Linked DNA regions of Alligator mississippiensis. The protein of the gene in region 4 interacts with the protein of the main gene of each other region in a biochemical or structural test. Links are inferred from orthologs where the notes say so. Each region holds a gene or a part of one and is shown on either strand. Other genes may lie near its edges.

What was found.
Region 1: the proteins of PKP4 (region 4) and ERBIN form a complex in vitro, tested with the Homo sapiens proteins (4 studies listed by BioGRID and IntAct, with this or other methods). The link is inferred for Alligator mississippiensis from reciprocal best matches to the Homo sapiens genes PKP4 and ERBIN.
Region 2: the proteins of PKP4 (region 4) and PDZD2 form a complex in vitro, tested with the Homo sapiens proteins (2 studies listed by BioGRID and IntAct, with this or other methods). The link is inferred for Alligator mississippiensis from reciprocal best matches to the Homo sapiens genes PKP4 and PDZD2.
Region 3: the proteins of PKP4 (region 4) and DLG1 interact in a test that uses a peptide from one of them, tested with the Homo sapiens proteins (2 studies listed by IntAct, with this or other methods). The link is inferred for Alligator mississippiensis from reciprocal best matches to the Homo sapiens genes PKP4 and DLG1.

What each region holds. Positions count from the first base shown.
Region 1 is NC_081826.1:260,483,013-260,490,843, forward strand, and holds the start of ERBIN (erbin), read right to left. Parts: upstream 3,018-7,831; 5' UTR 2,836-3,017; intron 1-2,835. UniProt on the Homo sapiens protein: Acts as an adapter for the receptor ERBB2, in epithelia. By binding the unphosphorylated 'Tyr-1248' of receptor ERBB2, it may contribute to stabilize this unphosphorylated state.
Region 2 is NC_081826.1:281,623,033-281,630,281, forward strand, and holds the start of PDZD2 (PDZ domain-containing protein 2), read left to right. Parts: upstream 1-4,245; 5' UTR 4,246-4,332; intron 4,333-7,249.
Region 3 is NC_081830.1:89,480,292-89,487,857, forward strand, and holds the start of DLG1 (disks large homolog 1), read left to right. Parts: upstream 1-4,551; 5' UTR 4,552-4,684; coding exon 4,685-4,703; intron 4,704-4,833; coding exon 4,834-4,965; intron 4,966-7,566. UniProt on the Homo sapiens protein: Essential multidomain scaffolding protein required for normal development. Recruits channels, receptors and signaling molecules to discrete plasma membrane domains in polarized cells.
Region 4 is NC_081827.1:222,273,574-222,281,198, reverse strand, and holds the start of PKP4 (plakophilin-4), read left to right. Parts: upstream 1-4,623; 5' UTR 4,624-4,731; intron 4,732-7,625. UniProt on the Homo sapiens protein: Plays a role as a regulator of Rho activity during cytokinesis. May play a role in junctional plaques.

The DNA.
Region 1 (7,831 bases), on a different chromosome or scaffold from region 4:
TTGCAAAAACTGCCAGAAAGATCTGCTGTACCTCTGTGTGTGTGGTATTTTCCAGTGAACGTTTTAATCAAGAACATCATCTGTAATCACCTACATTAAATTGCCTGCACAGCAAGCATGTTCCCACATGGATCCAATCTTTTATTTTCAGGTTAATAAAAGTAGTTTTATCTCCCAGTTATTTGGAAAAGTTAAACCAAAACTTCAGTAACCAAACCAGCTATCAAACCCACCAAAAGAAAATCAGGTGATTCCAGAAGTGATGGAAAAAAATCAACACTTGGTGTTCACACAAACTTTTCTCTTTTTCCCCTAGCAAAGAGAAAGCATTAATTATAAAAGAAAAAAGAAAAATATTTCATGAACAGCCCTAGGTAAAATGAAAAGGAAGAAATGTCTTCCTATTATTTCACTTTCAGAGGAAAGCAAGGAAAACTGTACCAAAATGCTGATGTCATAAATGTAAAGAAAAATATTTTCTTAGTAGCCATACCATGAATATAATCAAACTTAGCCAAGAATCTAGAAAGCATTAAATACATTCTCCATGTTTTGGTAGTATTGAGCTGATGTAGCTTTGATGAACCAGGAAAAATGTGGAAGGCAAAAATTTTTGTCCATGATATCTTTTATTGGATCAACTGTATAGCTGGGAAGGACATAGACAAGCTTTCAGGTACCACTGTACCCTTCCTCATGTCTTTTGAGGAAAGTAACCTGATAATCTCACTTATACCCTGTTTTTATTAAATGCATGGAATTTTGCACAAGCCTGTATTCTCTCTGCTATGCATCTTTTATTGGACCAACTGGAGCTATTACTCCAAAAGTCCTTGCCTCTTAAATATAACCTAAACTCAGGAAAAATTAGCACTGTTATTACTTTAAAGTTGAACATCCAACGACTTCCCCCCCACCCCCCATCACCACATTTTATAGCTTTTCCTCCCCAAAAGCTCCTAAAATCAACTCTGTATGAATTAGACTTAGAAACAAGATCCTACAAAGTTCACTTATGTGCCAAAAAAAAACTTAAGTAACTTAAGGCTGAGAATTGGAAGAGAGATCTCTTTACGATTGCTGTGTTAACCATGTTTTATATGCCTCTGACACAGTATTTTGGCACATTGGCAATTAAAAGTAAATAGGTGATCATGCACATGCAGAGAGAGCATAACTCAATTTGGGGGATTGGGAAAGCAGTACATTAAGTGAAAATATTTCAGTAACAAAGGAATATATAATTTTAAAGATTAAACAGTGAAAGTTATGGAGGGTGTGGTACATAAGCTACCCATACCAGAGACAATGTTTTATACTACATAACTAAACTGAACAAAACTGTCAATTAAAAAATATACTGCCATGTATTTTTTAAAACATTAAAAGACACTGCTGATTACCCAAAAGGATCAGCTTCCTGATTACAACTAACACTGTGGCAATGAAATGAATGGAATTCTATGACGTAGCTCTTAGCTGTAAGCAGTAGTGAATTCCACTTTCATCATTAAAGAAGGGCCTTATCATAGCTACCATGGTGACAAAACACTAGTGTAAAACGTTGCAGCCCCAACTATAAGGATCTATTCTCCTGCACATCATTGAAAAAATATGAAGTGTATCATCAGACAACCAAAAGGTCTGAAAAAAAACAAATTTCATCCACAAACACACTGATTTGCAACTACTTTTGTCATGCACTGCTACAGTTCCCCCCCTTAGAAACTAAAGTCATTATTGGGAATGAAGCACTGCTTTGGAAAGTGATCGTTCTTTGTAAAAGGATTACTCTATTTAGGCTTCAATGCTTTTCTGCCAAGCCTAAGCCATATAAGGAAGCTGAAGTTCACTGCCATCTATTTTGTTCCAGTCCTTTCAAGATGTTTATTGCTGCCTGCAAAGGTAAACCTGTAAGCTGTACACCGATCAGATGTTTATTACCGATATACCTGGTGTCTAAGATCAGCTGAAAGTTGTCATTTTTCTACTAAAAAAAAAGCTATCAAACCAGTCTGTCAGACGAACAAAACTTTCACACAAAACACAAAGCTGCCTCGTTATTTAACTGGTGCCTTGTCTACCTCTGACCGCACTCAGACCCAGGTGTAGGTAAGTTCACACAAAAAGGAAAGCTTAAGATGCCTTGCTGCAAAACTCAAAACTGACCCCCTCCCCCACCCAATCCTCAACACCACAAGCAGCCGGCACTGTACACCCTACCTCATCTCATCGCTCAAAACAAACCGCTGTCTGTCAGGTTCACCTCACAAGGGACAACGGCAATTCCCACTGGTTTCTACCAACGCAAACAAGCCACTCCACAGCCTTGGCTTCCCAGACCTTTAAAAAAAAAAGTTCACAGCTTCCTGCTTCCTGGACATCGTCTCTCTCTTCCCTGCTCAAGCAGCGCGGGGACCCCGGTATATCTAACATGTGGCAGCTGCTCCTTGAGCCCCCTTAAACCAGAGCAGGCCGGAGAGCGCATAGAAACTTGGCTCCGTAGCGGTGTGCCGGCTCCCCCACGGCGCACAGCAAGCAGCAGCCACGACACGGACGTAGCGGAGCCCCGGGGACGGCGCCCGCGGGCTTCCCCGAGCAGTGCCGCCGGCAGGCGGGCGGGCGGCCTCCACCTGGGCGCTAGGAGCTGGCGCAAGCCCAGGCTGGAAGTTGGCTCCGGTCCCCAGCCCCGCGCCCCGGCAGGGCCCGGCCGCCATCCGGAGCCGCCTACGCGGAACAAAGGAAGTTGAGCCCCGCGGGCCCCGGCCGCACAAAGGGCGGCATGAGGCGCCGCCGCCCGCCCCACGCGGCTCGCCCGCCCCTCGCCCCGCTCACCTCGGCCCGGGCCCGGCGCCGCTGCCGGGAAGCGCCACTGCCGCCGCCGAGCTTCCCCCACGGGCGAGCGGCCCCGCAGCACCAGCTCCTCCCCCGCGCTAGGCCGGTGCCGCGCCGCGCCGCGCCGCCCAGGCCCCTTATTGTCCTGCCGCCGCCGCCAGGGGCCCGGGGGCCAGCGCAGCCCCGCCCCGCCCCGCCCCGCCCCGTCTGCCCCTCCCTCGCCCGGCGGCGGCGGCGGCGGCGCTGGGAGCGCGGCTCGGGGCGTTCGCTGCCTCCGCCTCGCCGCACACGGCAGCGCCCGCACAGCGCCGCCCAGGCCGGGGGGGGCACTGCAGCAGCGGCGGCGGGAGGTGCCGTCTCGTCTCGCCTCGCCTCGCCTCGCTCCCACTGGCTGCCTGCGAGCGAGTGGCAGCGAGGTCCGCCAGTCCGCGCCCGGCCTGGCCGCCGACAGCCAATGGCTCCGCGCCGAGGGCCGGGCGTAGCCTGGCTGTGACGCGGAAGGAAGCCGGGGCGGTGCTGGGGAAGGGGCCCCGCGGGTTTCTCCCCTTGGGCGCGCGCGGGAGCTGCGGTGGGCGCCGCTCGCAGCCCTGGGCGGCAGGAGCCGAGTGGTTTCGGGGAAGCTGGCCTGGCGCGGGGAGGAGGCGGCGGCGGCTCTCCGGGCCACCAGCACAGGCCCTGCCGTGGGGCCTCTGCCCGGAAACGGCCTGCGAGTTGAGCTGGGCTGGGCTGGGCTGACGGTGCAGCCAGCAGAGACCTGAGGAAAAAGGGCTGGCATCGGGAAGCTTGTCTGCCTTTATTCCAACTACGTAGTTGGCCCAACAAGCCATCATCACCCTAAGGAGTTCTCACTTCTGTTGTGGCAGCCCCAGGGCGACACATAGCAGGTGCACGGGCACCCCTTGAGCATGGCAGGGCACCCTCTACGCTGTCCGCAGTGCCTGCAGGCGGGCACCACTCGCCACCCCGCCGCCCACACCACCGCCGGTGAGTGAGGGTGGTCGCCAAACCTTGGTGCTTGCCATCCTCCCCACCCTGCCAACAGTACCCGCGGCGTCTGCGGGATCTCCCTCGCTTACCACAGCTGCACTCCCGCTGCCACCGTGCCCTCCCAGCCAATGGGGGCATGCACTGCTTGTGGCAGGCAAGGTTCTTTGAGTAGGTGTGATATCTTTTATTAGACCAACTGAGTAGCTGGAAAAAAAAAAGTTTACAAGCTTTCAGGCACAGTCACCCTTCGTCTGACTGTGCCTGAAAGCACATAGGCACATAGGGAGTCTCTGCTGGTCTAAGACTCCAAGGAAATGAGAGAAGCTAAAAGTATGACAGGATGTCAGTGACAATGTACATGGGTGGAAATTAGGAAAACAAAAGGTAGGGAAGGGAAGAGAGGGGAAGAAAAAACAGGAGAAAGCCTGAAAGCTTGCATAGAACTTTTTTCCAACTACTCATTTGGTCTAACAAAAGATATTGCATTTACCCAAATAACCTTACCTGCCTATGTCTTTAGACCAACATGGCTACAACCAAAAACCCAGCTTGCTTCTGTTATAATTTATGGACCATCACTTCTACACTTTCACGAACTCTAATGTATCACCACACACAACTTAACAGGAACCGCAGTTCACGGTCACCTGGCTTCAGAACTCCTCTGCATGTTCGCACTCAACAACATGTTGCACCAACTGTTTGTTACCTTTTCTTTCCTTGAATGCTCCCCCTCCCCCCTGTAATTTAGCTGATTGACTGCTTTTGCCGAATCCTAAAGGAAGTCCTGGAGCCTGCAATTCTGTTGTGCTGCAAAGTGGACAGCACAGGCAACAGCAGGGCAGACTTCTACACGCTGCTCACCTTATGTTCCCTAATTGTGTTCTAGGGGGACCACCTGTAAGGACAGAGGGAGTTCAGTTTTCATGCCCATTTAATCTTTGGCATCTCTGCTGGGACTGCCTTCAACTCTGCCAATAATTTTCTCTTGTCAAAACCTGTTGACTAAGAATGGGACTAAACATCAACTTGTTTTTATAAGCCGCCTAACAGACATCAGGTAGTAATGACTTGTCACTATCAGCCTACATCTGAGTCCAGCAGCCAGCCTAAAGATGAAAAGCTCCCCAAACCATTTCTAACCGTGCGGGCCACCATTTGACTAATGTTTGAAGTGCTGGTGAGGGTAGTTTAGTTTACAATAGCAATGAAATGCAGTTGATCATATTTAAATAAATACACGTTTGTGCCATTCAGAGGTTTTATTAGAATGTTCTCATGTGTGAATGGGAATTGCCCATTTCACTGTCTAATGTCAGACATCTGGACATAGGAACTTGACATGCATGTATATCAGCACTATGCATTAACTTAGTTTAGCTCAACTTATTTCTCCTCTATTTCTCAACTAATCCCCTCTTCTCAATTTAATAAAGCATACATTCCTGACTTAGAGCTACATTTATGGCAAGCTTCAAAATTTAAACACAATCACTGGAACCAGAGTTGGAAAAAAAATCCTAATTTTTCTTCCTTGAAGTACAAAATCACCACTAATCTCTCATGTTCACATAAGCTATTTTCTTCAAATGACTCACATTTGGACAAAGACCAAGTATGAGAACCTTTAGTCCTTAAAGTTAAAAGTGCTTGAAAACAGAGGCATAGAATTAAAGTACTTTCTCATTTATCAATAGAGTCACTACAGTGATGCTACAATAGAATTGCTGAAGTTTCACCTTGCATGAACAACTGAGAGTTCCTTTCTGATAGCAACACTGTATCGCTATAATTAACGTTATTACAAGACTATACTTCTCTCTGGTGACCTACTTATTTTCATGAACAATTTGAGGCACCTACCTGGAGCATGAGCTTATCCTGCCTTTTGTTTATGGTGGGATGGTTGTGTGGCAATGTTTGCTGTAAATTACTTAACACATCTGCTAGTGGAGTGTAGGAGATTCACAGTGGCTGTCATTCCCATGCAAGATCTACTATTATTTCATTTATAGTTTCAGGGTAAGATTTAATTTTACTTGTGGTATGCACCATCCAAACCCAAACAATATAACCACAAATTTTAAAAAAAGTATCTTAGATCAGAGCTCCTCGAGACATTTTATACAGACAAGATTAAACTATTTACACAAATTACAAATATACCAAAAGTTATCCTAGGGATATAAAACGGCTATAAATATCAGAATAGTATTTAGATTACAGCTAAAGCACAGTCCACTGCAAAAATTAACTCCCAGACTTGGTATTCCAGTTACCACATAATTTACATGTTAAATATACAACATACAAACTCTAAAGTAATATAGCAAGATATCTTTAGATGGGGCCATGCACATAATTCTATGGAAGGTTGAAACAAATTCTTTAACTAGGTCTTAGGCAGACAAGGTTCCTTGGGTGAACCTTGTCTGCCTATGTCCTTAGACCAACACGGCTACAACCTACACCCCTGCAACCTGGAAGTTAACTAGGTCTTGATACTAGACACCACACCCAAAGTTTTCTGATTCTATATTTAAATAGCAAGATTAGCAAATATTGCAACAGCAAACTACATAACTGAAAGAAGCTGCCAAAACAGTCACATCTAACATGTATTTTTCTAAATTAAAAAACTCAAATGATTCAGAACAGTATACATATTGCTGCACCATGTAACCATATGTTCTTATTCCTTGTTGCTCTTTTATGCCTACTGTTTGTTACACTCATTTTCTGCATCTTTTCTTAACTTGCATTTGTATTCTAACTAGCATAATGGGCCCCTGATTCTAGCTGGTATTTCTGAATATCACTACAATACAAATACTAAATCGTAATTATGAATTAATATTAATAACTACAATTAAATGGACTAAATTAACTAACAGGTCGTGATGCTTGTTTCCAAGCTGGTTATGGACAGGACAGTAAAGCATCTAGCTCTTACAACTGTCCCTCCCACTGGTGGTACAGTCTTTCTAATCAAACAGTTTAAAAAATGGCGCTTTTAAAAATTATCTTTCTTAGGATTATGACTTAAGTTGCATTCCACTTTTTGACTAAAGTCTGCAAACACCTAACAAATCAAAACATTAAAACCATCAAATTGTACGAGGACAAATTTTAACCAGTTCTGTTCCAGAGAGATAAATCGTACTTTTGAAAGAGCCACCTGGCTACCATGTAGAAAATTGCTGCATTATAGAAGAAACACCCCCTCCATGAATTGCACACCACTGTTTATGACATACCATCCCTCCCTGGATCCTATATGGAAAATCCTCAAGCAGTACTAGAAGGAGACCCTATTTTTAAAGAGTTCTTTCCAGAACCACCTATCCTAGCTTTAAACAAGCACCGAACCTCGCCAACTTCATCACCAGAAGCAAACTTCCTATGACCCAAAACACACCAAATGGATCCAGACCATGCTATGACAAGAAATGTAAGACCTGTCAACACATCTCTACCACCCCCACAGTTCCTATACCCCACAACAGAACCATCAACGTTCCTGGATCTTACATCTGCATCTCCAGAATTGCAATACATCTCATCCAATGCACCGATTACCCTGATGGAAAATATGTTAGAGAAACCAAATAACAACGGTGTACCAGAATAAACACACACCGAAAATCTATCAAAGACAAGAATACCCAGTTACCTGTGGGAGCACCTCTCTCACAAGAAAACCAATCTCTCAGTTGTAATCCTCAAAAGGAATTTACAAACAACTTTTCACAGACGAACCTTTGAACTTCACTTTGTCAGTCTACTGGATACAAAACATAATGGAGTAAATATAGACATTGGATTTATGACACATTATAACCTGCCTAACATCTGACTCCCCAGATTACCTGGTAAAAAGTGGAGAGTTTTTCTCATTCTCTTCCCCCAACTCTGTATCCATTGACTACAGCTACATTCATTTCCTTCCCCCCCCACCATCTGTCTCACCTACTGACCACTTCAATTTACATTTTAACTGACTGACTTT
Region 2 (7,249 bases), on a different chromosome or scaffold from region 4:
AGGTACTCTCTGGCACTTTCATAATGCTGTGCAAACTATGAATGTCATGTGCTCCAGCAAGATTGTCTGTATTTCTGTTTTCCTATCTTCTCTTTCTGTCCCTTTATATGTTAGCACTATGGGGGAAAGCTAAGGAAGAACTATGTAAGACCCATTGAATCTGTGGTGTAAAGGGGTATCCACAGAACAACTGCCAACATGGGAAAAGGAGTACATAATGTTGGGTTGGCTGCAGGGATAGGGGATTTGGCTACCTCAGTGGGGTACCTCTGTAGCAGGCAGACCAGTGATTACAAGGGTATCTCTGCTGGATCTAGGACTTGATCTGGTAATATGATGCTTGGCTTTTTCTTTTTTGCATGTGTTGCTCCAATAAACATGCCTGTCTAAGAACCATGCCCTGGTTCATTCATGCAATGGTATCATTTCTGGTCTCTGCTTGTGTATCAGGTTTCTCTCCCACCTGTGATTTGAGAGGGTTCAGGTGCTCTGTCACTCTGTCCTGCTCTGGGTTTACCAGATTCACTGGTTTGATAAGATGTGGAGTTTCTGGATCACTAAGTCTAAAAATAGATGTTGGGTTTATCCCAGGTCCTAGGCTTCGCCTTGCATCAAAACAAGCATAAGACACAGGGAGCCTGAATAGCAAGTAACTCAGATTAGCAGTGATTTAGGGGGGAGTGTTATCTTGATACTTCATAGGTACTTCACAGGCACTTAAAGTGGGACAATGGGCTTGCACATCTGTAGGATCATAGAACAAAAGGCTTTGTCTCGAAGAAATCCAGCATTTGTTTTTCAGCCTCCAGAAGTTCCACGCAAAAGGTGCTGGTGGAATATTGGACTAGCAAAGTCCCTATGGTGACAGCAGACTGCTAGTTCTTTCTAAGGGCATGGTGCACTGAGCATTGATGCAGGCCAGCTGGAGCGCCTTTGTCTTTATGCAACATTGGAAACTGTCCCCTATTGGCTCCTTACTCAGCATTTGTCATATTGTTTATATTACCTGTTCTGTGTTACCATTGGTCAGGTGGACAAAATAAAGCGTCTTCACAGAAGCATCTCAGTATGGGACCACAGTGCAAGGCATAAGCAGTGACTAATTAGGAGTATGACACACATACCCGGACTCCCTATGAGCTGGGCTTACAAAGGATGGAGTCTTGCTATGTACCAGAATTTAAATTTGCTGGGGCCATCCAGTCAGAGGAATAGATGACATGTGGGCAGGTGATCCAGACAGCTAGTAAGGCAGCATGGGACATTGTGGAAGGTCTTGGAAGACATGCAACACTTGCCATGAGATGAAGAAGCATCCACACTTACTTCATTGTGGGTAAATTTTTCCTCCAGGTTTTCCATCTTCCAGGTTTTCCATCTGTTCAACCACCATCTGATTCAGAACAAGAAAGGCTCTTTGTGGATACGTGGTACTTACACAGATTACACCTCAAGTCAACCTGCTTTGAATTTCAAGTATAGACCAATCCTAACTCCTATGGATTTATGCTGAGATTTTTGTTTTTGCAACAAGTGTTGCCAGACAACTCACTGGTTTAAATGCTAAACTTTCCTTGTCAGTTTTCTGACAAAATAACTAGAAACCATCACCCTCAAAGTATGATAAGGCACTGTACCTGGTAAGAGAGAAAGACTAAAAAGCAATAAATCTAAAATAGTTTTAATAAAGAAAACATTTAAGGGACACTACTATGCCCCAGTTCTTTTTAATTTGACTATTCCTTGTCTGTGTCTGAAAATCCTAGTACATCGTGGCATGAGACTCACAAAGAGAAATTGACTAGAAATGAAATAAAGCTGGACATTTCCCTTTCCTGTGTTCTCCATGCTTTCCCTGTGGCAGGTTAAAGTGTTATGTCTTGTGGTTGTGTCAAGGTTAACTGTATAATTTTGCTAACAATGGATTTGTGTAGGATGGTTTGGATAAGGATGATCCTGCCTTATGCAAGGGGTTGGACTAGATGACCTCTGGAGGTCCCTTCCAACCCTGCTTTTCTGTAATTCTATGATTCAGTGTCCAGAAGGAGTAAAATGCAAAAATCAGAGAGCACAAATCAAACTGGATTTTTAAGATGCTCAATTTGAATAATTTGAAGTTAGTAATAAAACAGGGAAGGAAGACAAGACTATTTTAGGTAAGGTATAATTTAACTTACATTTATGTTCTAAGCGTAAGTCACTGTTCATTTCAGACTTGTACAATCTTTCCCAAACACCCAGATCCCTTCTGAGGATAAAGCAGGAGATAAAAGAAAGGAGAAAGAGACTTTTTAAAGGATCTGTAAAAATTCTAAAAATAACTCTGAGCCTATGAAACCGTGACACTGCACAATATACATGAGGGCCTTGGGGAAACAGGGAGGGCTTCAGTAAATATTTCTGGGTATGTCTACACATACACTTTAATGCAAAATAGCCTATTTTACTGATTATTAAAGTGGTGCGTAAAAAAAGTGCTAATATGATAATGTGCAGTAAAATAGGCTACTGAGCATTAAGTGTCACCTCAAAAGCATGTGCTGGCACTACTGCACATGAAGGCAGTCTAATGCACATTAATTTAGTACCTCACATTGGAGGTGCTAAGTTTAATGTGCATTAGGAAAAGCACTTTAATACATGTGTAGAAGCGCCCTCTGAGTGACATGCAACAGTTTAAAAGGGATTAGCATGATCTAGCCTTTTCCTGGCTTAGTGATACTTCCTCAGCCCAGTCACCAAAAGACAGGATACGATCATGCATTGACTTAAGTTACACAGTAAACTTAGACCGTACTAATGTTGAATGATACTGGAGTCAGAACGTGCTGTGAACGGCTGCCTATCAAGAGTTAACACCATTTCTTGCCTGAGCAGCTCTGACTTGCTACATGAGGGCTGCCCTTATCTCTGCTCTGGGTATGAGGGGAGGCTAGGGTGCATTGCATCCTGGGATGCCGGAGGACTACAAATTGCTCATTTGATCTCTGTGGAGGAGCCTGAAGTTACCTAACATGAGCTAGGTAGCATGGCCCAGAGATAACCCACATCTGCAATAGCATAACTTTGAGATGCTCAGAGGGCATTTAGTACAAGTTAAGAAGCTTTAAGGTGCAGATGCTGGCATTTTATGTGCCTTTAGTATGGTCTAAGTGCAATACAGACGTGGATTCTTATTACATTCCCTGGATTAGTTTGTGACCCCTTTCTTCCTCTGGACTTAATGCTTTCCTCTCCTACCTCTGCCCCCTCCCCCATATATCTCTCTTTGAATCAGGGCTTCCTAGACCTTAAATGCTGGAGGCTGCAAATGAGAGAGGAACAACAGAAAAAAAAACCCCTTGTCAGACGTACTTCACTGCCACTTTCAGCCTCCCTCTCTGCCGCTGTTTGACACAGGACTGTTTTACTGTCAAGGGATCATGGGCCGTTGTCCACCAAGAACTATAAACCTCCTTTGGAAAGGGCTGCTGCTCAGAAAATAAGACCACATTTATTGGGAAAAGAAAAGGCAAAACAGGGATGGGAGCGATGGTCAAAGGTTCAGACTGAGTGCGCCAAAGGGGGGAACGGAGCAGAGTACACGGGGTAGTGCCCACTGGCCCCAAACGAGTCCAAGGAGCCAGTGGACTGTGTGACCCAAGCCTATTTAACACATAGGGTTACCATGGGGTTAACACTTGTGGGGCAAAGGTTGACGGCCCCCCGTCCCGTTATTCGGTATAAGTTGATCGGTTTTGTGGGAAAACGAAAGAGAAAGCAGGAAGAGGAGTGAGGTCCTAGGTTCAAAACAAGTGCGGCAAGGGCGGACACAAAGCAGAGCGCCCCGCACGATGCCCAGCGGCTCCCCAGCGGGGCTGCGGGACACGCACGGGCCTGTTCGACGCCTCTGGGGAACAGGGGCCTTCTCCCACAGGCCAAGGGTTCGCGCCCCGCTACCGGACGGGGTTACGGAGCGCGTCCACTGAGCTTGCGGAATCAACACAAGACAAAACGGGGATGGTGGGTTCAGCACGAGCGCGCCCGGGGCAGGCACGGCGCGGCTCCCAGGCCACTGCAGGGAGGCGGTGGCTCCTGCATGAGAGGGGCACTGTGCTCGGAGCTGCAGGGGGCAGAGCCGCCAGCCCCACGAGGAGCCGCGGGGAGGACGGGCGCGCGTGGCGGCTGTGCCCCGGCGCGGGCGGGCGGGGCTTGCGGCCGCCACTCAGCGCTGCCCGCGCCCGGGGAGGCGGCGCCGGCGGCCCCGCGCTGCCCATGGACGCGGGGCCGAGCGCAGCCGGAGCCGGAGCGGCCGCACGAGCCGCCCCCGCGGGACCCGCGCCGCGCGGGGAGGTGAGTGCGTGAGCGCGGGGCCGGCCCCGCTCCCCCGCGCCTGCCCCGGCCTCCCCGGCGCTCAAGTGTCTCGGCAGAGTGAGATTTGGGGTTTTTTTTGGGGGGGGGGGGGTTGGTGCAGAAAGCGGCTTCCCCCCCTCAGCTCTGACGTGCCAAGTTTGAGAGCTGCTCGGGCTCTGCAGCTGAGGGTGTTTCTTTCTTCCAGCCCCTGACATGCCTTTTCTGTCCTTAGCGTGTCCCCACAAGCGCCGGAGCCCACCGCAGTCCTGCTTGTTGCAGTTTAAGCTCCTGTCCCCTGTGGCTGCCGAGGTGATCACGACTTTTTTGCGTGGTCCGAGCCCCCCCAGTTTTGTATTTGAAGACTCTTTCTATATTTGCCCTAGATCCTCTCTCCTCTCCGTGAAATAATCCCCGTTCTTCCAGCTTTCCTGCCTTCTAGATCTCTGCTCATTTTTCTTGCTCTTCTGTGGACTCTTTCTGATGGCTTATCCCACATAGTTATTACTTTGGAAGATTTTTCTCATGGCCAGGTAAAGTCCCGAATGGAGGGGAGAGTCTTGCCTCACTCCTGAAGACATTGTCCTCTGGAAACCAAAGTGCACAACAAGTATGTGTGCGAGGTGGACTTGCAATGTACTATGTACGCTCCACGTTCATCTGCTAGTGCTTAGTCCAACAGAAATCCCAGTATGGTTTGATGTTTTATAATGCTCACTGGCGACTAGAAAAGTCTTGTGAGCAAGCTGACTTGATTGTTTGATTTTCTTTTTAGATTCGGGTTCAAAATGGCTCTATTTGAGGTTTTTGCAATGTTTCCAAGGCTTTTGTACCCCTTTAACAACTCGCCAAGGTTGTGTTCAAGTCACAGTACAGTACTTAAAGCCTTGGAAGACTTTTAGCATTGACATGAAGGCAACTAAAATTTGTTCTTTTGAAAAAAAAGCTGGTAACTTGTTAGATTCATCTTGATTTTTCCTCAGGCTGATGGAAGAAAGAAACAACAACTTAGTGAAGGAGTATTTTCTCTGCTGACCCATAAAGCTAGTAAAACAAACTTTTTTTTCACCCACAAGAGAGAGATAATTTTAGTGTCTGGTAAAATTGTTCTTCCTTTATTCTTCAGCATACACTTCTTGGGGGAGTGTGTTCATGTCAGTATGTCAGCGGGAATCTGAAAAATGGGGGGGTGTAGACAGATACAGTAGTGATACCAGCATTAAATTATAGGTATAGCTGAATAAAATCTGTTATGCCTGTCTGATTCTATACTGGTATAGGGAACTTAGATTGCTGTAAATGTTAACTTTAAATCTGTTTCATTCATTATTATAAAGTTACGGGGGTTTAGTGTGTAGGAGTAGACAGACGTTACAGCTGGGGATATGGACACACCTCTATTTGGAGCCATTCCAAAAGAGCAGCAGCTGTTCTGGTTTAATTGTTACCTTTGGGCAAGCCAAGGATGATACAGATGGGACAAAACTGATCTAACCTTAACACTGCCTCATCCAGGGTTGAAGCTGGAGTGGTTTTCCTACATCTATAGGGCTCTCAGCCTGTTCAGACCTCAGGGTTGGAACATAACAGCCGCTTCCCTTTTGAATCCAGATGTATGTGCGTCCATACCCTGAGTGGCAAGCTATCCCTCTCTTCCTGCTTAAAGTTATGTGGGTCCACAGCCAGGGTCAGAGTGAATTTGTAAAGGTTACAAGGGAGCCTGAGCTCTGAGGTGGTAGACACGTCTCCTCCATTAGACCATAGTACATCCCATCTAAATTACTTCAAAACTGTCTAGGAAGGCCAAGCTCACATGTCAGCCATGCTGAATGAAATCAGTGCCCCTGGATCATTGGTGTCTAACAAAAAGGTATTTCAGTAATGGTTGGCATCTCGTCTGAATGCTTACAGTATTGCAGCCGAGCCAGTACCTCCCAATCTGTGCCACGAGTCTCATGTAGTGAAACAAAATGGATGAAGCTATCCAGTGTCACTCTGGGGTCCTTCCTGAAAGACAGGTAAGGACCATCTCAGACCTGGCTTAGTTCAACCGTGCCAAGGTTTGTAGTATGCTTTTAAAAATCTTCATTTTTTTCCCTCTTTAATTTAAAAAAAGTAAAGTTTTCCCTTTCAAAACCAAAGTAAAATAACAGCTGTAAATGAGTAATAGTAATTTTTGGGGTTTTTTTTATTATTGTTTAGACTCTAATCCTGATAGGAAACACCTTTTACTTCTTGAAAGGCCAGCTGAGTTGCAAATTAAAAGTGGTGAATATTAACCAGAGTTTTAGAGGAAGAAGTCTTATGATGCAGGAGAGCTCTAATGCTATGGTTCTCAACCTTTTTTGTACCAGGACTTTTCTTGTAAACATTGATGGCCAGTCCTGACCCAGTGCCCCTCACTCCCTACCCACTGCCCCCTGCCCCCATGCCCCAACCCCCCAGGGCAGGAGAGGTGTGTGGGGTAGCGGGGGCACCCAGGCAGCCCCTTGCAGGCTGGAACTCTGCCAGCCTGCAAAGGAAAAGCCACAGTTTCCCATGTTTTTCTCATTTAAAGGAGAATCGATTTTTAAAAGGCGTTGATCCAGTTTTAAAATTTGTTCACGACCCTTTATATATTTTTGTGACCCACTTTTGGGCTGTGACTCACAAATTGAGAAATGCTGCTCTAAAGTATAACTGCTGTTGTCAATATAGGAGTTGCTCTTTAATTCTGTTAACTGTTTTTGTGCCCATCTCCAGATAATGCATATAGTGCTTTTATCCCAAGGAATTCCAAAGCCCATTTACAAAATCCATTATATAAAATGTACAAAAATCCCCCAAACATCTGTTAATGCACCATTAATGCTGAACTGAAATCTAAAAGTCAGGAAATGCAAAATCTGAAGTTCCAGATTGCATTGCACATCTTGCCAGT
Region 3 (7,566 bases), on a different chromosome or scaffold from region 4:
AATGATTGCTTCCTGGCTTGTTGATCCATCACTCTGGCCTCATTTGATTTTTTCCAGCACCACTCAGCAAGGGGAGAGTGCAGTGTCAGAGCTATGTATGAGACTCTTATCATTACTCATAGCATCAGGATCCAATGTAATAAGATTCTCTCATTAAAAAAAATCCTGCTCAGATTTGGGGATTCCATTTACAAAGAAATGAACTTGTTGCTTATGGTGGATTCTTTTGCACAATCACTGGAGAAGCACGTGGTGCATTTCTTTCCCTCTGCTCGGGCCACATTTTTGTCACTTAGCAAACCACCCTTACCTTGGCAGATCCTTTATAAATGCTAGTAATAATAGGCCTGCTTCCCTTCCTGCGTGCATGTTCCTCCCCCATGAAGAGGAGGAAAGCCCCCCTTAGGGTTCATTTTATTGCTGCTGGAAATGGGGATTGTGTTAGAACTAATGAGATCATATAACAGGGACTTCTACTGCTGTCTCCTCCCAGCAGGGATTTCTTTAAAAAGCTTGGACAAAGGATGTGTGAGCCATCACAACTCCAGTACCAAAGCTCTGCAGGCAAGAGTAGGAAAATCTGCCCAAAAGAGAATGAGAAATGCAGGTCAGTAAATGTAAACGTGTAACAGTAAATTCCTCCCTCGAGAGTGGTGGGCATGGCACTCCCCCAGGGTCTCTTGAGCATATATTGACATTTCGTAGAAAGAATTAGGATGTTGGCTGCTGTGGCTCCCGTTTTACTCGTGGCAGGTTTGGGTGTGAGGTCTGTGTCGTGTCAGGGTTGATGGTCATCTCGCGTGGAGTTGAGATTGACAGGTTTGCCTGGGTTGGTTTGGACAGGGCTGATCCTGCCTCAGACAGGGGGTTGGGCTAGATGTGACCTCCGGAGCTCCCTGCCGGCCCCACTGCTCAGCGGTTCTATGAAAGAATTTGTGCAGCTGTAGATTAAGTGGGTATTTTTATACAATGTTTTCATTACTACCTAGCACAGGGATCTGCAACCTGTGGGTTGGATCTGACCTGTAGAGCTGCCAGGGGGAAAAGCACCAGGACCAGATGCTGTTCAACACTGAGAAGTGTAAAGCGCTCCATCTGGGGAGGAAAAATCCGCAACAAACTTATAGGCTGAAACGGACCTGGGGGTCATCACTGACCATAAAATGAATATGAGCACCAGTGTGATGCTACAGTTAGCAGGGCAAACAATAGTCTGTCATGCATCAGCCGATGTATCTCAAACAAAACTGAGGAAGTTATTCTCCCGCTTTACTCGGCATTCACGATGCTGCAGCTGGAGTACTGCATCCAGTTCTGGGTGCCGCACTTCCGGAAGGATGTGGAGGAGTTGAGAGAGTCTAGAGAAGAGTCATTCGTATGATTAGAGGCCTGAAGAGCAAGCCATACGAGGCAAGGCTGACGGATATGGGACTGTTCAGCCTAGAAAAGAGAAAACTTCGGGGGGATTTGGTGGCAGCTTACAAATATATCAGGGGTGAGAATCAGGGGCTAGGTGAACAACTATTCACCAAAGCGCCCCAGGGGGAAACCAGGAGCAACGGTCATAAACTCCTAGAAGAAGGTTTAAGACTGGATCTAATGAAAAACTTCTTCACGGTTCGTGTGACCAGACTCTGGAATCGACTCCCAGCGGGGTGGTGGCACCTACCCTGGAAATCTTCAAAAGGAGCCTGGACGCACGCCTTGCTGGGGTTATTTGACCCCACCAGTCTTCCCTGCCGAGAGCAGGGGGGCTGGACCCAATGATCTCATGAGGTCCCTTCCAGCCCTAAACTTCTGTGATTCTGCGCCTCCTTCACTGTAGCTTCCATCCTTCAGAGGCCCAGGAAGTCCTAATTTGCAGGTTGTACCCCTATTACATTTGCTTCCCAGATTCTGCATTAATCTTGCTCAATCCCCTTTTGAACCCAGTCAAATTATTTGCCTCTACAACTTCTTGTGGCAACGAGTTCCACAAGTTAATTACCTGCGGTGTGAAAAATATCTTCCTTTCCTTTGTTTCGGAGCTACCTCCTGATGATTTCTTTGTATGTCCCATCACACTAGTATTGTAAGAGACAGCAAATCCCCATGTGCTTTCTCCACGCCTGTCATGTTTTTATAGGCAGAAAAACAGAACATAAGAACTGCCATTTACTGAGTCGACCACAGGGGTGGTGCTAGGGGTGCTTGGGGGCTACAGCCACCCCAAAGATTGCCTTAGCCCCCGTAGCCACCCTCCCAGTGCCATCGCCACCCGCAGCTGAGCCCTCCCGCCTGCCCCGTGCAGCTGCCTCGACCATAGGTCCATCTTGCCCCATCTCCTGTCACACGGGGCAGAGTGCAGATGTTGGAAGGGGGAGTGAACTGGGTCTGACCTGGGTTTTTCCTGTTGTTCCTCTCTCTTGCAGCCTCCAGCATTTAAGGTCTAGGAGGTTCTGATTGAGAGGCTGTACATCTGCCACAGTCTCCCCTGTCCCCTGGCTGTCTCTTCTATGAATCCTGCACATCATGCCGACCAGTACTGTCTCACGCATGGTGCTGCCCCATCTGCCTCTCTTCTCATCTCCTCCTGTTGGCTCTCTCTGGGGCAGGTCTGTCTTGCTCTGCGTGCGCAGCACCTACCACGATGAGGTCTCAGCCCATGACCGGGGCTCCCAGGAGCCACGATGAAAGTACAGTACCGCTATTCCTATGACTACAACAAGGAACTGCTGTTCGAAGGACAGAAAGCCAAATTCTGTCTGGCATTTAGAAATAGTCTGCAATGCAAACTAATATGACATCAAGGAATTGGATGCGGTATTGTTCAGTCATTTAGATTCCACATTCCCTTTTTTTCCCTTCTTCTCAGAATCAGCTTTCACAAAACCTAAGATTCTGTCATTTTCAATAAACTGACAAGGGTTTCCAAGAAAAAGTCACCATTTCCCACAATTGCAACAGAACTGTAGCTGAGACATCACAGACTTTCCCTGTGCTTGGGACAGCCGTGGCACCGTCGGGCAAATCCCTGAGGGTGCAGCGCAGGGTCCGAATTGCACTTTGACTCTGGGGGGGCGGTCTGCAAAAAAAATGGGGCTGCCCATCATGATGCCCTAATAAAACCAGAGGCACCCCCCCCCGGTTATGATTTTAAAATTTTACAGGGGGGCTGTCATGTCCTATGGCCCGGCTCAGCCCCACCGAGCTCCCCCATAAGTTGAGCACTGGTACAGTGGCATGGCTGCACCCCCCTTTGGGCATGGATCGCACTGTGGGGGACTTCCTAGAGCAGGTGAAAATCCTCCCTCCCTCCCCCTTCCTGCTCAAAGACACACCGCCTCCCCCTCTCCTGGCTTCCTTCCTTCCTGCCCTGCCCTGCTGTCCTGGGGACGGGAAGCGCTGGAGCCCTTCCTGGTCGGGGGGGGGGGGGGGAGAAAGAGCAGCAGGGATGGCCGGGGCTCCCCCTCCCTGCCTGGGCCGGCGTGGGGAACTGCTCCCCGGCTGCCCTGTTGCTGCCGGTCCCCTCCCCGCTGAGCCCAGCCCCGGCCCAGCCAGGCTGCCTCCAGCTCCCCCCCCCCCCACACAACACAACGGGGAGAAAGGGCGGCCGGTGGGGGTACAGGCAGGTCCGGGCTGGGGGAAGGGGAAGGGGGGGCTGACACGTGCTTGCTTTGGGCACTTCAGCCCCGGAGGCCCCTGCTAGGCGGGCTGGGCTGGGCTGCCTGCACTGGGGGGCTGGAGCAGGGGTGTGGCCCCCCGCCGTGGGGGTCTTGACCCGCACCCCCTGGGTGCACCCCGCCTGCGTGGAGAACAGGTCCCGTCCTGGAGGTCGGGCTGCCAGCGCCGTCTGCACCCGCCCCGGGGTGGCCCGTGCCGTGCCATGCCACGCCACGCCACACCAGCATGTCCACGATGTGGCGTGCCAACGACGCCCGTGCCAACGTGCCTGTGACACCCGTGCCAGCATGCCTGTGGCCGCAATGCCTGTGTCAATGTGCCTGTAACACCCATGCCAACGTGCCCGTGATGCCCGTGCCAACATGCCTGTGACACTCGTGCCAGCATGCCTGTGGCCGCGATGCCTGTGTCAATGTGCCTGTAACACCCATGCCAACGTGCCCGTGACGCCCGTGCCAACATGCCTGTGGCCGCAACGCCTGTGTCAATGTGCCTGTGACACCCATGCCAACGTGCCCGTGACGCCCGTGCCAACATGCCTGTGGCCGCGATGCCTGTGCCAATGTGCCAACGTGCCCGCGACGCCCGTGGCGGCGTGGCCGGGGCGGGTGCGGAGGCGGGGACCCGTCGCGGCCGGGGGCTGCCCGGCTCGTGGCGCTGCGGCGGCTGGCGGGGCGGGGCCTGCGGGGCGGGGCGGGGCCGGGCGGGGCGGGGCCGGGCGCACCTGAGGCGGGGCGGGGCGGGGCGGGGCGGGGGAGCGCTCACCTGGCCCCCGGGCCCGGCCCGGCCCCGCGCGGGGCGGCCGCTGATTGGGCGGCGCGGGCCGGTCACGTGGGGGCGCCGCGCGGCCCCGCCGCCATTTTGCCTGGAAACTTTGGAATTTCAAAGCGGCGCGAGCGGGAGGCGGCGGCGGCGGAGCCGGAGCGGCGGCGGCAGCACCGGGAGCGGGAGCGGCGCGGCCGCCACGAGTCCAGCCGGGGCCGCCCCCGCCCGCGCTCCCCGGGACGGGCGGGGCGGCACCATGCCCGTCCGGAAGCAAGGTGGGGGCGCGGCGGGAGCGGGCCCCTCACAGCCCGGGGCGGGGGCAGGGGGACACGGCGAGTTGGGCGGGCGGTGGCGGCCGGGCGGCCGGGCCCCCCCGCTGACCGCGCCGTGCCGTGCCGCCCGCAGACACCCGGCGCGCGCTGCGCCTGCTGGAGGAGTACCGCGCCAAGCTGAGCCACGCCGAGGACCGGCAGCTGCGGAGCTCGCTCGAGCGCGTCATCGGCATCTTCCAGAGCAGCCTCTTCCAGGCGCTCATCGGTGAGTGTCGGCCGGGCCGGGCGGGGAAGCCGCGAGCAGGGCCCGGCTGCGCCTCAGCCGGCGGCCGGGAGCGGGGAGGGGAGGGGAGGGGCGGCCGGGCGCGGCGCGGCGCGGCGGCGAGACGCGGCGCCAGGAAAGTTGCGGAGAGGCGGGCGGGCGGGCGGGCGCTGTCCCGGGCCGCGCGGCCCCCCTCGCCGCCCCCTACGAGTCCTCCGAGAGACACCGGAGCGGTCGGTGTTGGAGCTTCGTCCCCCGCTTCTCCCTTCTCCTCAGCCAAGTTCCTCGTGACCCTATTCTGGGGAGAAATAGGGAGAGAAAGTTTTTCTTGTTTTTTTTGTTTTTTATTACTTCTTATCTTTCCCAATAAAACATGAGAGGCGAAGGCCTGCGGGTGCGGCTGCGTAGACAAGAGCGCGTTCACCTCGCCGGCAGCAAGGAACCAAGTCCTGTCATTAATAAGTCATATTTAACTTGCCAGCATGGACGGGCAAAGCTCTTCTTAGAAGTGCCTTTGTCTCGGGGTTGTTCCTTGCCTTGAGCGCGCGGTGCCGCGGGTCGGGGGCACTCGTGTTCTGGCCCTGCCGCGCGGCCGGCCGGCCGACGGGTGTGGAGCCCGGAGCAGACCCGCGTGGCCCCAGCCCCCGCCGTCTCTGCCCGCCGGTCCAGCGCGCAGCCTGCCGCCCCCCAGACCGTCCTGTGGGCGCAGCAGCAGGGTGCCAGGGGCTGCTGCTCGCCCACGGGCTGCTCTATAGGTCCCGGTTGATATTGGGACTTAGTGCTTGTTTTAGGCTGTGCTGTGTCAAACAATCAAGTTCTTTCAACTCTTCTCCTGTAACCTTGTCTGGCATTCTCCTACGCTTCGGTCTCCATAAAAAAGGTTATGATACAGTGACTGTTTTCGCTGTCGACTTCCGAAATGGAAGTCCTGCATTAATACCACTTTAAACTTGTGAACTTAAACATCCCTCATCTGGCTCGCGAAGGAGAAGTCAGTCTCATGAAGAAAGGCTTGGCTGACTTTGAGGGATGGGCGTACGAGCCCTCTGTGGTGGATCAAACTAGTGAAGTTTTATATTAGTCACACTTGGTGTTGTGCAAGAGTTTGTGGTTTTTTCTCACCCCTTTTTGCGCTCCCTTGCCATATTATTTTTGTTGGAACTTACTATAATGGCTCATGGATTTTCCTCTTAGAAATTCCTAGAAGTTTATTCTTTATTCCTTCCTTCTAGAAAACAAGGAGGAAACCTGTTCCAGCTTCTTCCCCTAAATGTCCATAATGACGCTTCATCAGGCTAAAGGAGCTCGTCTTTTCTATGGCATTAGCCTTTGATACTGTGATCTCTTCTGCTCTAATACTGTCTGTAATATTATATAAGCTATCTCTATCAACAATACAGGAATTCATGAAACACCAAGCCAGTGCTTATGTTGCAGTATATACTATATAAAAGAAAAGGAATATGTGCTGGCAGGATGTAGAAACAAGGATCTGTTTTTGCAGATAGCACCGATGTGAGGGACTGTAGCAGTTTGACATCCTGGCTCTCGTTGTTGCTTTAAGGTGAACTACTTTTACAGAAGTTTTAGAGCTCTTTGCCTTGCTCGAACAGGTTAAAGCTGCATGGCATGCAAACTGAGTTCAAGAGGAGTATTGTGTCTTAACCCTGTAAGACTTATTTTCTAATGAAAGAGGAAAAACATCTGTGTTTTGATTACGCTTATATGCAACCCTTTCTAGAGAAGGCTCAGGGTGGCTTACAGCAACTACATAATGTATAAAAACAGAATAAAACATTGGAATGCAGTATAATGAAACTAGGGGTTCACAGATAATGATTTTCTTGGTTGATACCAATAGCCAATTATTAACCAACCATATTGGCTGATGCCGATCTGATAACTGATATTTAGTAATAATGCAAGGCATTTTGAAGTACTGACAGAAATAAACCTTGGTTTTGTTTGTTTTGTTGTTCTCTGGCACACTCCAGCCTCCTGCGTCACATGCATCAGCATCCCTGTGCTTAAAACTGGCAGCGGGGTGCTTGAACTGAAGCTCATGGAATGAGCTTTAGTTCAAGTGCTGCCGCCACCATTTTTAAGTGCGGGGACGCTTGAGCTGAGCAGAGTGAAGGCGGATGTGGGCTGCTCTCTGTGGGCTCAGGGCGCTCTGCCCCAGGAGCTCCATGCTGGCCCCATGCCCCCTGCCCACCCAGCAGTGGGGCACACAACTCGCTGCCCCCACTGCTGCCAGACAGGCAGGCAATGCGGGGCCGGTGTGGGGCTCCTGTGGGAAAGGCAGCAGAGCAGAGAACCTTGAGCCCATGTCTAGGCACAAGTCTGGGGGGGCACATGCCCTACCTCCCCAAGGGGGTGCATGCAGTGGTGGGGAGTTACTGTCTCCCCCACGCCCCTCTGGATGAGCCACCTGTGGCTCTGACCTGCTCACAGGCCCAACCCCAGGTCCTGTGCACCACCCTGGCTGGGTAGCAGGGACCACAGTGGGAGGCAGGGAAAAGGGCACCAAGTGGAGTAGTTGTTAGTCAGGCAACAGAAATAAAGCAGCAAGTTGGGCAGGGAGCAGAGAGCCATATTGAGAAG
Region 4 (7,625 bases):
GCTGAGAAATATGGTAACCAAATAAAATTAAGTAGAATAGTGAGGTATGGCACCATTTAAAAAAATGGGAAAAAAATGCTCACTGAGGAAAAAAAAAATGTCAACTCAGTGTTGTGACATTATATTTGGAAAACAAACTTCTTATTAACTTGGATTTATTTCACACTCACTATTTACTGCATTTTAACCAACTGTGGTTTACAAATGAGCCAAAGGTGTATCATAATAGTTTCAATTGTCTTGATTTCCCTCTATCTCCATTCCCCCCCCAAAAATATTTAAAATCATTTTAAAGCAAACTAAGTTTTAACGAAAAATAATTTATATTTTTTCTGTTGTGAATGCTAAATAGCTCTTCATTTGTTCAGATGCACTCTCTCCTCCAAATACTTAAAACATATTCAAATTCTTGTAACTTCAGCATCTGAGTTAGACGATAGATAAAATAAATACAGCTAAGCAAAACCAGAAGAACAAAGCAGAACTGTTTTCAAGACTGCTATTTATCTTTATAATCCTTCCTTTCCAGAAAGCAGGTCCTATGTAGCTACTACTCTACCTACTTATGAGCAAAGGTACTTCTCTTGCTCTCATTCAAATAAGAGATTCCAGGTAGTTGTGAAAAAGTAGAAGTATCAACTGACATTAAAAACTGGTCATGCTAATATTCTTCAAGCACCGAGAACATCTGTGAAAGCCCAAGTTGGAATCTGGCTTTAATTCCAGGGCAGGTTAAATGAAGCAGAAAAACATTAATGATTTGAAAGATGCAAGAATCATAGCAAGAATAGAACTGTCAAATAGCAGTCAACTAAACTTCTTGTCCAAAAAAGTGAAAGATACAATGAATCCTGGCAGAGATCAGATGAAGAGGTCACAGCAATCCAGGTAGCTTTAAGAGGGAAAGGACATATACACTCAAAGATTCACATAGTATTTGCTAACAAATACAGTGGAGGCAAGGTCCTTTCCTAATGGCACTGAGACTGTAAAAAAATACTCACAAATCAAATCCTGAAGAAGGCACAAGAAGAATTAAAGGATGAAAGCTTAAACCAGACAAATTCAAAATAGAAGTGCTGCCAGGATTTTTACGAGTAAAATTATTAACCATTTAATTGCACATCAAGGAAAAGGGTAAATACTTCAGCTCTTAATATCTTTACATCAAGTTTGGATTTCTTTATAGAAGATATTTTGACCTAATAACTTATCTTTGCTTCATATAGAATCTTAAGCTAAATAAACAAGAGGGATCACTGGTTTTATTTTTTAAATACATGAATGCATGAAAGCTTGCTTAATAACTATTCTCCAACCATTTGGGTTGGTCTAATAAAAGATATCAAATTCACCCAAGGAACCTTGTCTGCCTATGTCCTTAGACCAACATGGCTACAACCTAAACCCCTGTGACTATGACTAGTTATCATTAACTTACTGTGTTTCACTGGTAAAACAGAAGTGCTTCAACACCCTTACAAACCTAATGGAACCTCACAAAATAATTCCTTGTCTTTCTATTACTTCCAAAGAAGCCAACCCACATCTAGGGTGCCTACAGATGTTTACGGCCCCACTCTAACTCGTGGCACTTTATGTAAAGTGCCATGAGTTAGAGGCCCTGCCCCAACAGAGGGGTAGGGGCTGGAGCCTGCTTGCCCTGGCCAGCAGATGGGACCCTGCCTCTCCCCTCCCCTCAAGCTCTGGGGCTATCAGTGGGAGAGGGAGGAGGGGGAATGGGTTTTTGCTTTGTGCTTATTTTATCCAATAGGCTTTCTTTTGCTTTAATTCTGTGGGTCTAAGATAACATGACCGGGGAAACTCAGGAAAATAGAGATTTACACAAAATACATGCATCTTTCTTTCCCTAAAAAAAAAAAAAAAAAAAAGCCAAACAGGAAGTGCTCCTCAGGTAACAGGGAACATTTTAGCACTTTTCCCAGTCAGAGCATATATTAAAACCTCTTATGATTTGAAGTTTCTTACAGTATGTATTTCCATAACCAAACAACATATACGTTTCATTAGTTTTCAAAGAAAAAGAAATTAGACATGTCTATCTTCTTCTTTAGATGGTATGGGTTGATTTTTAGGTACCCACATACAATTCTGACACTCCAAAACTTTGGGAGGTCTGAGTTTGGGACTGGGTCCTGCCACTGTCTCCTTCCTATCATCTAGGAGGAAAGAGGCACGTGAACCCACATACAGTGTGTTAGACACTACAGGCTACAACTCAGCTGACTGTCTACCTTCCCCACTAACTGGAGGTAGGATTTCTCACAAGAGTTGCTGCCCTACAAAGTTGAACTTAAAGCAGAATCTCTTAGGCTTTGGGTCTCAAGATCAAGTAGAAGAGGAACTCGGGCTTCAACACTACCAGCAGTAGAAGTCACTCTCCAGAGTTTTGACTCCGGTGAAGGGCTGAACATATGCAAACAATTGATTTATTCCCTCAGGACAGAGTTGTCTTTTGGTTGTTCCATCTTATGAACTGTAATTTAGACTTTTCTGATTAAGAGAACACACATTTCTGAACAGCCACCTCGGCCATTGCAATGGCTTCCTAGGTGCTTTATCCTTCTCCTGGACTTTTTCCATTTCTGTACTTGCATAAGTTTCCCCAGCATTTAATTCACAGCCACTCGGCCTTTTACGAGTGTCCCTTCACTCCACTAGGGCTGACACTAGTTGAATGCTCTGATGTGCTTCAGTGTCCACAGTAAAGGAAGGCACTGAACTACTCTGAGAAGTTACCAGTAAAAGCTAAGCCAATTTGATCATTCAAGTTTTGCAGCAGTTTGCCTGCATTGATTTAATATTGATGTAGTTAATCCAGTCATCTTTAGCAACTATGACCAATTAGCTTCTGGAGGGACAGATATTTCTTTTCTTTCCCTAGCACCGTTTCTATTACTCCTCCCACAATTGCTACTCCATTTTCTACTCCCCTTTTCTTTTCTGGTACCTCTTCTCAGTTAACTTGCTTTCCTTCCTCTTTGCCACTCACCTTTTCTTTAATCATGTTTCTCTTCTCCCTATTGACTCATGTTTCCTCCCCCTTAACCTTGCTTTCTTACACATGTGGGATTTCACAGATTGAACACTTTGGGCCTGATTCTCCATTGCCCTGCACTTTGGATAGTCAGTGACACTTCTGCAATTAGGCCACCATTCTGGTGTGGCAGCGTCAGAAAGGCATCTGGAACTGTGAAGAATCAGCAACCCTATTTATACACACCAAGTTATTCCCTGCAGATGTTTGATCAGATTTCTTCCTGCTGACTCCTTTAACCTATGGCAATAACAAACACTACAGAGACAAAAAACTTATAACTGTAACCAGGAGGAAATACAGAACCAATCGGTATATCTATTTTCAGAAGCAAAAGGTGGGAAGACAGAAATCACATGTGCAAGAGATGCCCCTCCTCCTTCAGAAATATAGATGACTTTACTCAGGGGTCAGCAATATATGGTCCACAGGCCACACCTGGCCTCTGCAGCCATTGGATCCTGCCTGTAGAGCCAGGGGGCCTTGCCCACAGCTGTGCTGGGCAGCAAGGAGCTGAGCCAGGATCAGGTGGAAAGGGGTGAGCTTGTGCTGCACCTAAGGGGTAGGGAGAAGAAGCAGAAGGGAAGAGCGGTGGCAGGGTTGGGACACTGGCCCACCTCAGACCAGACCGAAGCTTGATTATTTCCACCAGGGGCTCCAAAAGATTGTTATCTGCCGCTTGACATGTTTAGCTATTCCTTGTCTTTCAACTGCCATACAGTAACCACCCAAGAATAAGGTGAAGGACATAGCCACAGCACAGAAAGACAGCTAAACACTTACCCCAAAATTCAGTATAAACACTGCTTATTACTCACAGGAGTAGCCTACACCTCATTAAGGCCTGCGGCCTTGTTTTTCCGGAGTGGCCTAAGTCTTTAGTAAGGATCCTGGAACTGACAAGACCTCTAGTTTTAGGGGCTCCCCAGGCCTTGATACTGAGGGAGCCAAGTCAGTTTCACCCATGAGGGAGTTAAATAGATACAGCACGACAATTTTTACCAAGGAGAGCGAGAGGGGGCCCAAGGCTTAACCACTTCGGTGTTTAAAGGTCACAAAATATCAGACATTAAGTCAGTCACTGATTCAGGTCTGGATCCCAGGAATTTGGGGAAATTAAGGGAAACAGGGGAGAAAGAAAGGGAAAGAGAGAGAGAGAGAGAGAAAGAGAGAGAGAGACGTCTCCAGCAGCAGGATTTGAGACTGCAGCGGCGGGGGGAGATTGGACGGAGGGCAGCAGCGAGGAGGGATAGATGCAGGTAAGCGCGGCTGGCTCAGTCCGCCCACAGACCCGCAACCGCCTCCCCCGCACGGACCCGCAACCTGCCGCCGCACACACCCGCGCCCGGAGAACCCGCAGCCCCTTCCACACAGCCTGCTCACAGCATCGGTAACCCTGGCAACCTCAAGTCACCGCCTCATTGGCTGATTTCACACGAGGCAGCGACCAATGGCGCGCGGCCCTGCGCGGGGCTCGGCCAATGGCGGCGGGGCACGGGGCAGGGCGTCGCGTGACGCGCGGGGCGGGGGGCGGAGCCAGCGGGCGGCCAGGAGTGGACGCGGCGGCAGCGGCGGCACCATGGAGACCCCGGGCTAGGGCCGGGCGCGCGGCGCGGCGGGGGCTGCGCTGGGCCCGTCCGCGCCCGGACCCCGCCGGCGCCTGCATCTGCGCGGTGAGTGCGGCGGGCGCGGGGACTGGGCGCCCCGTCCCGTCCCGTGCTGTCCCGTCCCTTCCCTTCCCGCTGCCCCGAGGAGCCTCCTCCGGCGCGGCCCCGTGGCCAGTGCTCGGCTCCGCAGCCCGCGCTGTGCTCGGCCCCCGCGTGCGGCCGGGCACGGGGCGGGGCGCTGCCGGGCTGGGCAGGTGCGAGCCGCGGCTCGGGCGGGCGCAGGAATGCGAGGAACGCGCCGGGAAGGAGCCCGCCCGCTTCCCGCAGCCGCAGGGCCCCGGAGCATCTGCCTGGCGGCCTCCCCGCCCGCCTGCGCCGCGCTCAGGTTAGAGGCTCGCGGCACTTGCCCGCCATGAGATCAGTCCTGGACTCTGCCCCCCCCCCCTCCTCCCGCGGCCTTTGCTTCCCGCGCCAAGTTGAGCTCCTGCTTGAAACATGCTGGGGCTCCGGGGAGGTCGGACCAGCCTGGTGCCGCAGCGCGGCCTCCCCTAGCCCTTGTGGCTGCAGGGTGTGGGAAATTGCTGTCGGTGCCTGGACACCTCTTGTTGTCTCCTGAATTGCGGCTTTTCATCTTCCTGAGCCGCAGCGAGACCCCCATATCTCACGTCACTCGAAGGAACAGAGAGGCAGTGTTGTGGCAGGGATGGGACAGAGAGGACGGTCTGGCACCGGGAGCTGTGCACGGGGCGTGTCGGCCACCAGCTGAGACAAGGCAGCACCGCGGCAGGAGACCGCTTGCCACCATGTCTTCTCCCACCGTTACGCTCTGTAGCCCGACGGGAGTTTTCATTCTGCTGCTCAAACCATCGTAGCTGCTTCTCTGGGTGTTTGCCAGGGGGTGATTTGGAGCAGGTGGGAGAGGAGCGGAGGAGGAAGAGGTTTTGCCAACTTTGGTAGCAGAATGCTCCTGAGCGTGGTCTAATAGCGGTTATTTTTTGTCTGTGGCTTTTCTTTCTCTGTGAGTTAAAAGGTAATAATTACAATGGTAGACTGTCTTAGAGAAGTCAGGCTGGAAGGGAACCCCAGAGGTCATCTAGTGACTACACTAGTCTAACCCCCTGCCTGAGGCAGGATCATTCCTATCCAAACCGTCCTGTACAATCCATATGTAAGACTGCCATCGAATATGATGCAATACAGACTTGGCACCCTAACCTGCCACAGGTAGAGCAGGGGGACTGCAACAGCCAACCTCTCGCTTTTATGAAATGTCAGTACAAGCTCAAGAGATCCCAGGTAGAAGGCCATGCCTCCACTGCAGAGGAAGGCAAACCCCCTTACAGCCCAGACCGATCTGACCATGGGGTAAAATTCCTTTCTGTTGCCAAACATGGCAATCGGTCTAACCCTTTGTAGAGGGACAAGACCCTGTAGTTGGAAACCTCAGGAGGAGCATTGGCACAAATCAGTCAAAGTCTACATAGCATTTATCTAAAGAAATCATAGTAGTAGCTAAATCAATTCGGGGACTGTTATGCCTGCTGCTGCTTTGACACATTGTTTTGGACAGTTTTGTTACTAGGGCATCATGATCAGAAGGATAAATTTAGCTATTTGGAATCTGTTAATCAGTGTGGAGAGTGGTTAAGAAAAGAGGAATATATTTCTCCAGTAAACTCATAGCATTATTGAACTGCTTTAAATCCAAAAGGTCTGAGATGATTGTTAGTTGCTATGCGTGTTGAGCACAACTAAAGGATTAAATGTGTGGCTCTCTCTTCCCATGTGACAACCACATATCAGTACCCAAATCTTAGAGATATTTTTCACTCCTAAAATATTCCTTGTTGCTGAATATAGGGAGCACAGCTATGGATTTTCCTGCCTGATCAATAAGCAAAATAAACGGAAGAAAAATGACAAATACCTTCAAACAAGCACTTCTGACTGACTGTAATGACGCATGCAGATGTTTTATAGCTGACACATTGTGCCTCTGAGGATGGATTGCATTTACTAGTTTGCCTGTGTGTATACTAATCGGCAGGAGTCATACAAAAAGTGTAGGCATATTGGTAGACGTGATTTAGTAGGTAGAGCATGTCTACCCTGTCTGGATTAGGGGTTCTGAGAGGGGAAGAAATGAAAGAGTGAAACGAATTCTGAAGTTGTTGAGTCTAAGATGTTGCAGCACAAACTAATATTTCTGTGATCAATGGGTGCTCCCAGTGTAAAATTCTAAATTGTGTATAGGAACACTATATTTTTTGCAGGGGGGACAAGTAAGGAGGGAGGGGAAGAATGCTCTTTTTTCAGATGCCAACACACACACAAAAATCTATAGGGCAAATGTACTGTTGTATTTTCTAAGTATGTAGTCCCAAGAAGACTATTCTATGCTTCCTTTCTAATCTTCCTCTACATACTAATATTTTAAACAGCAGTCCAAACCAGCATGTGGTATATAATTATGTATAAAACTAACTGCTTGAAGCAATAGGTGTGGTATTAGTAAAGGTAGTAATATTTTATAATTTGCCTTTAATTCTCTTGATGACTGTAAATTTTTTTATAAATCCTACTTGAAGAAGGGAGACCAGGAAAGGAGAATAAACCTTTTTTTGCCTTATTGAATAGTTTTCGGGGGGAGGTGGGGGGGTAGAATTATTTTTTAATGTGGTAATTATTTTTGGCAATTCTTTTTAAAACTTAAAATTGGAGCATAAGATTATTGGAACATAATACATATTTTGGTGAACAGCATCATCTTGCAAATCACATCTATTCTCAGAGGGAGAAATACCCCAAAAGCAAAAACAAGAACAACCCTGCTCCCCTTCCCACAGTTTTTGCCTTGGAAGCTGTATTAATTCAGTTGTTTTTAAAAAATATTCATAAAGGACACTTGCAGTATGCTACGTGCATTTTTAATTTAGTTGGTTCAATCAATGCACTAAGTA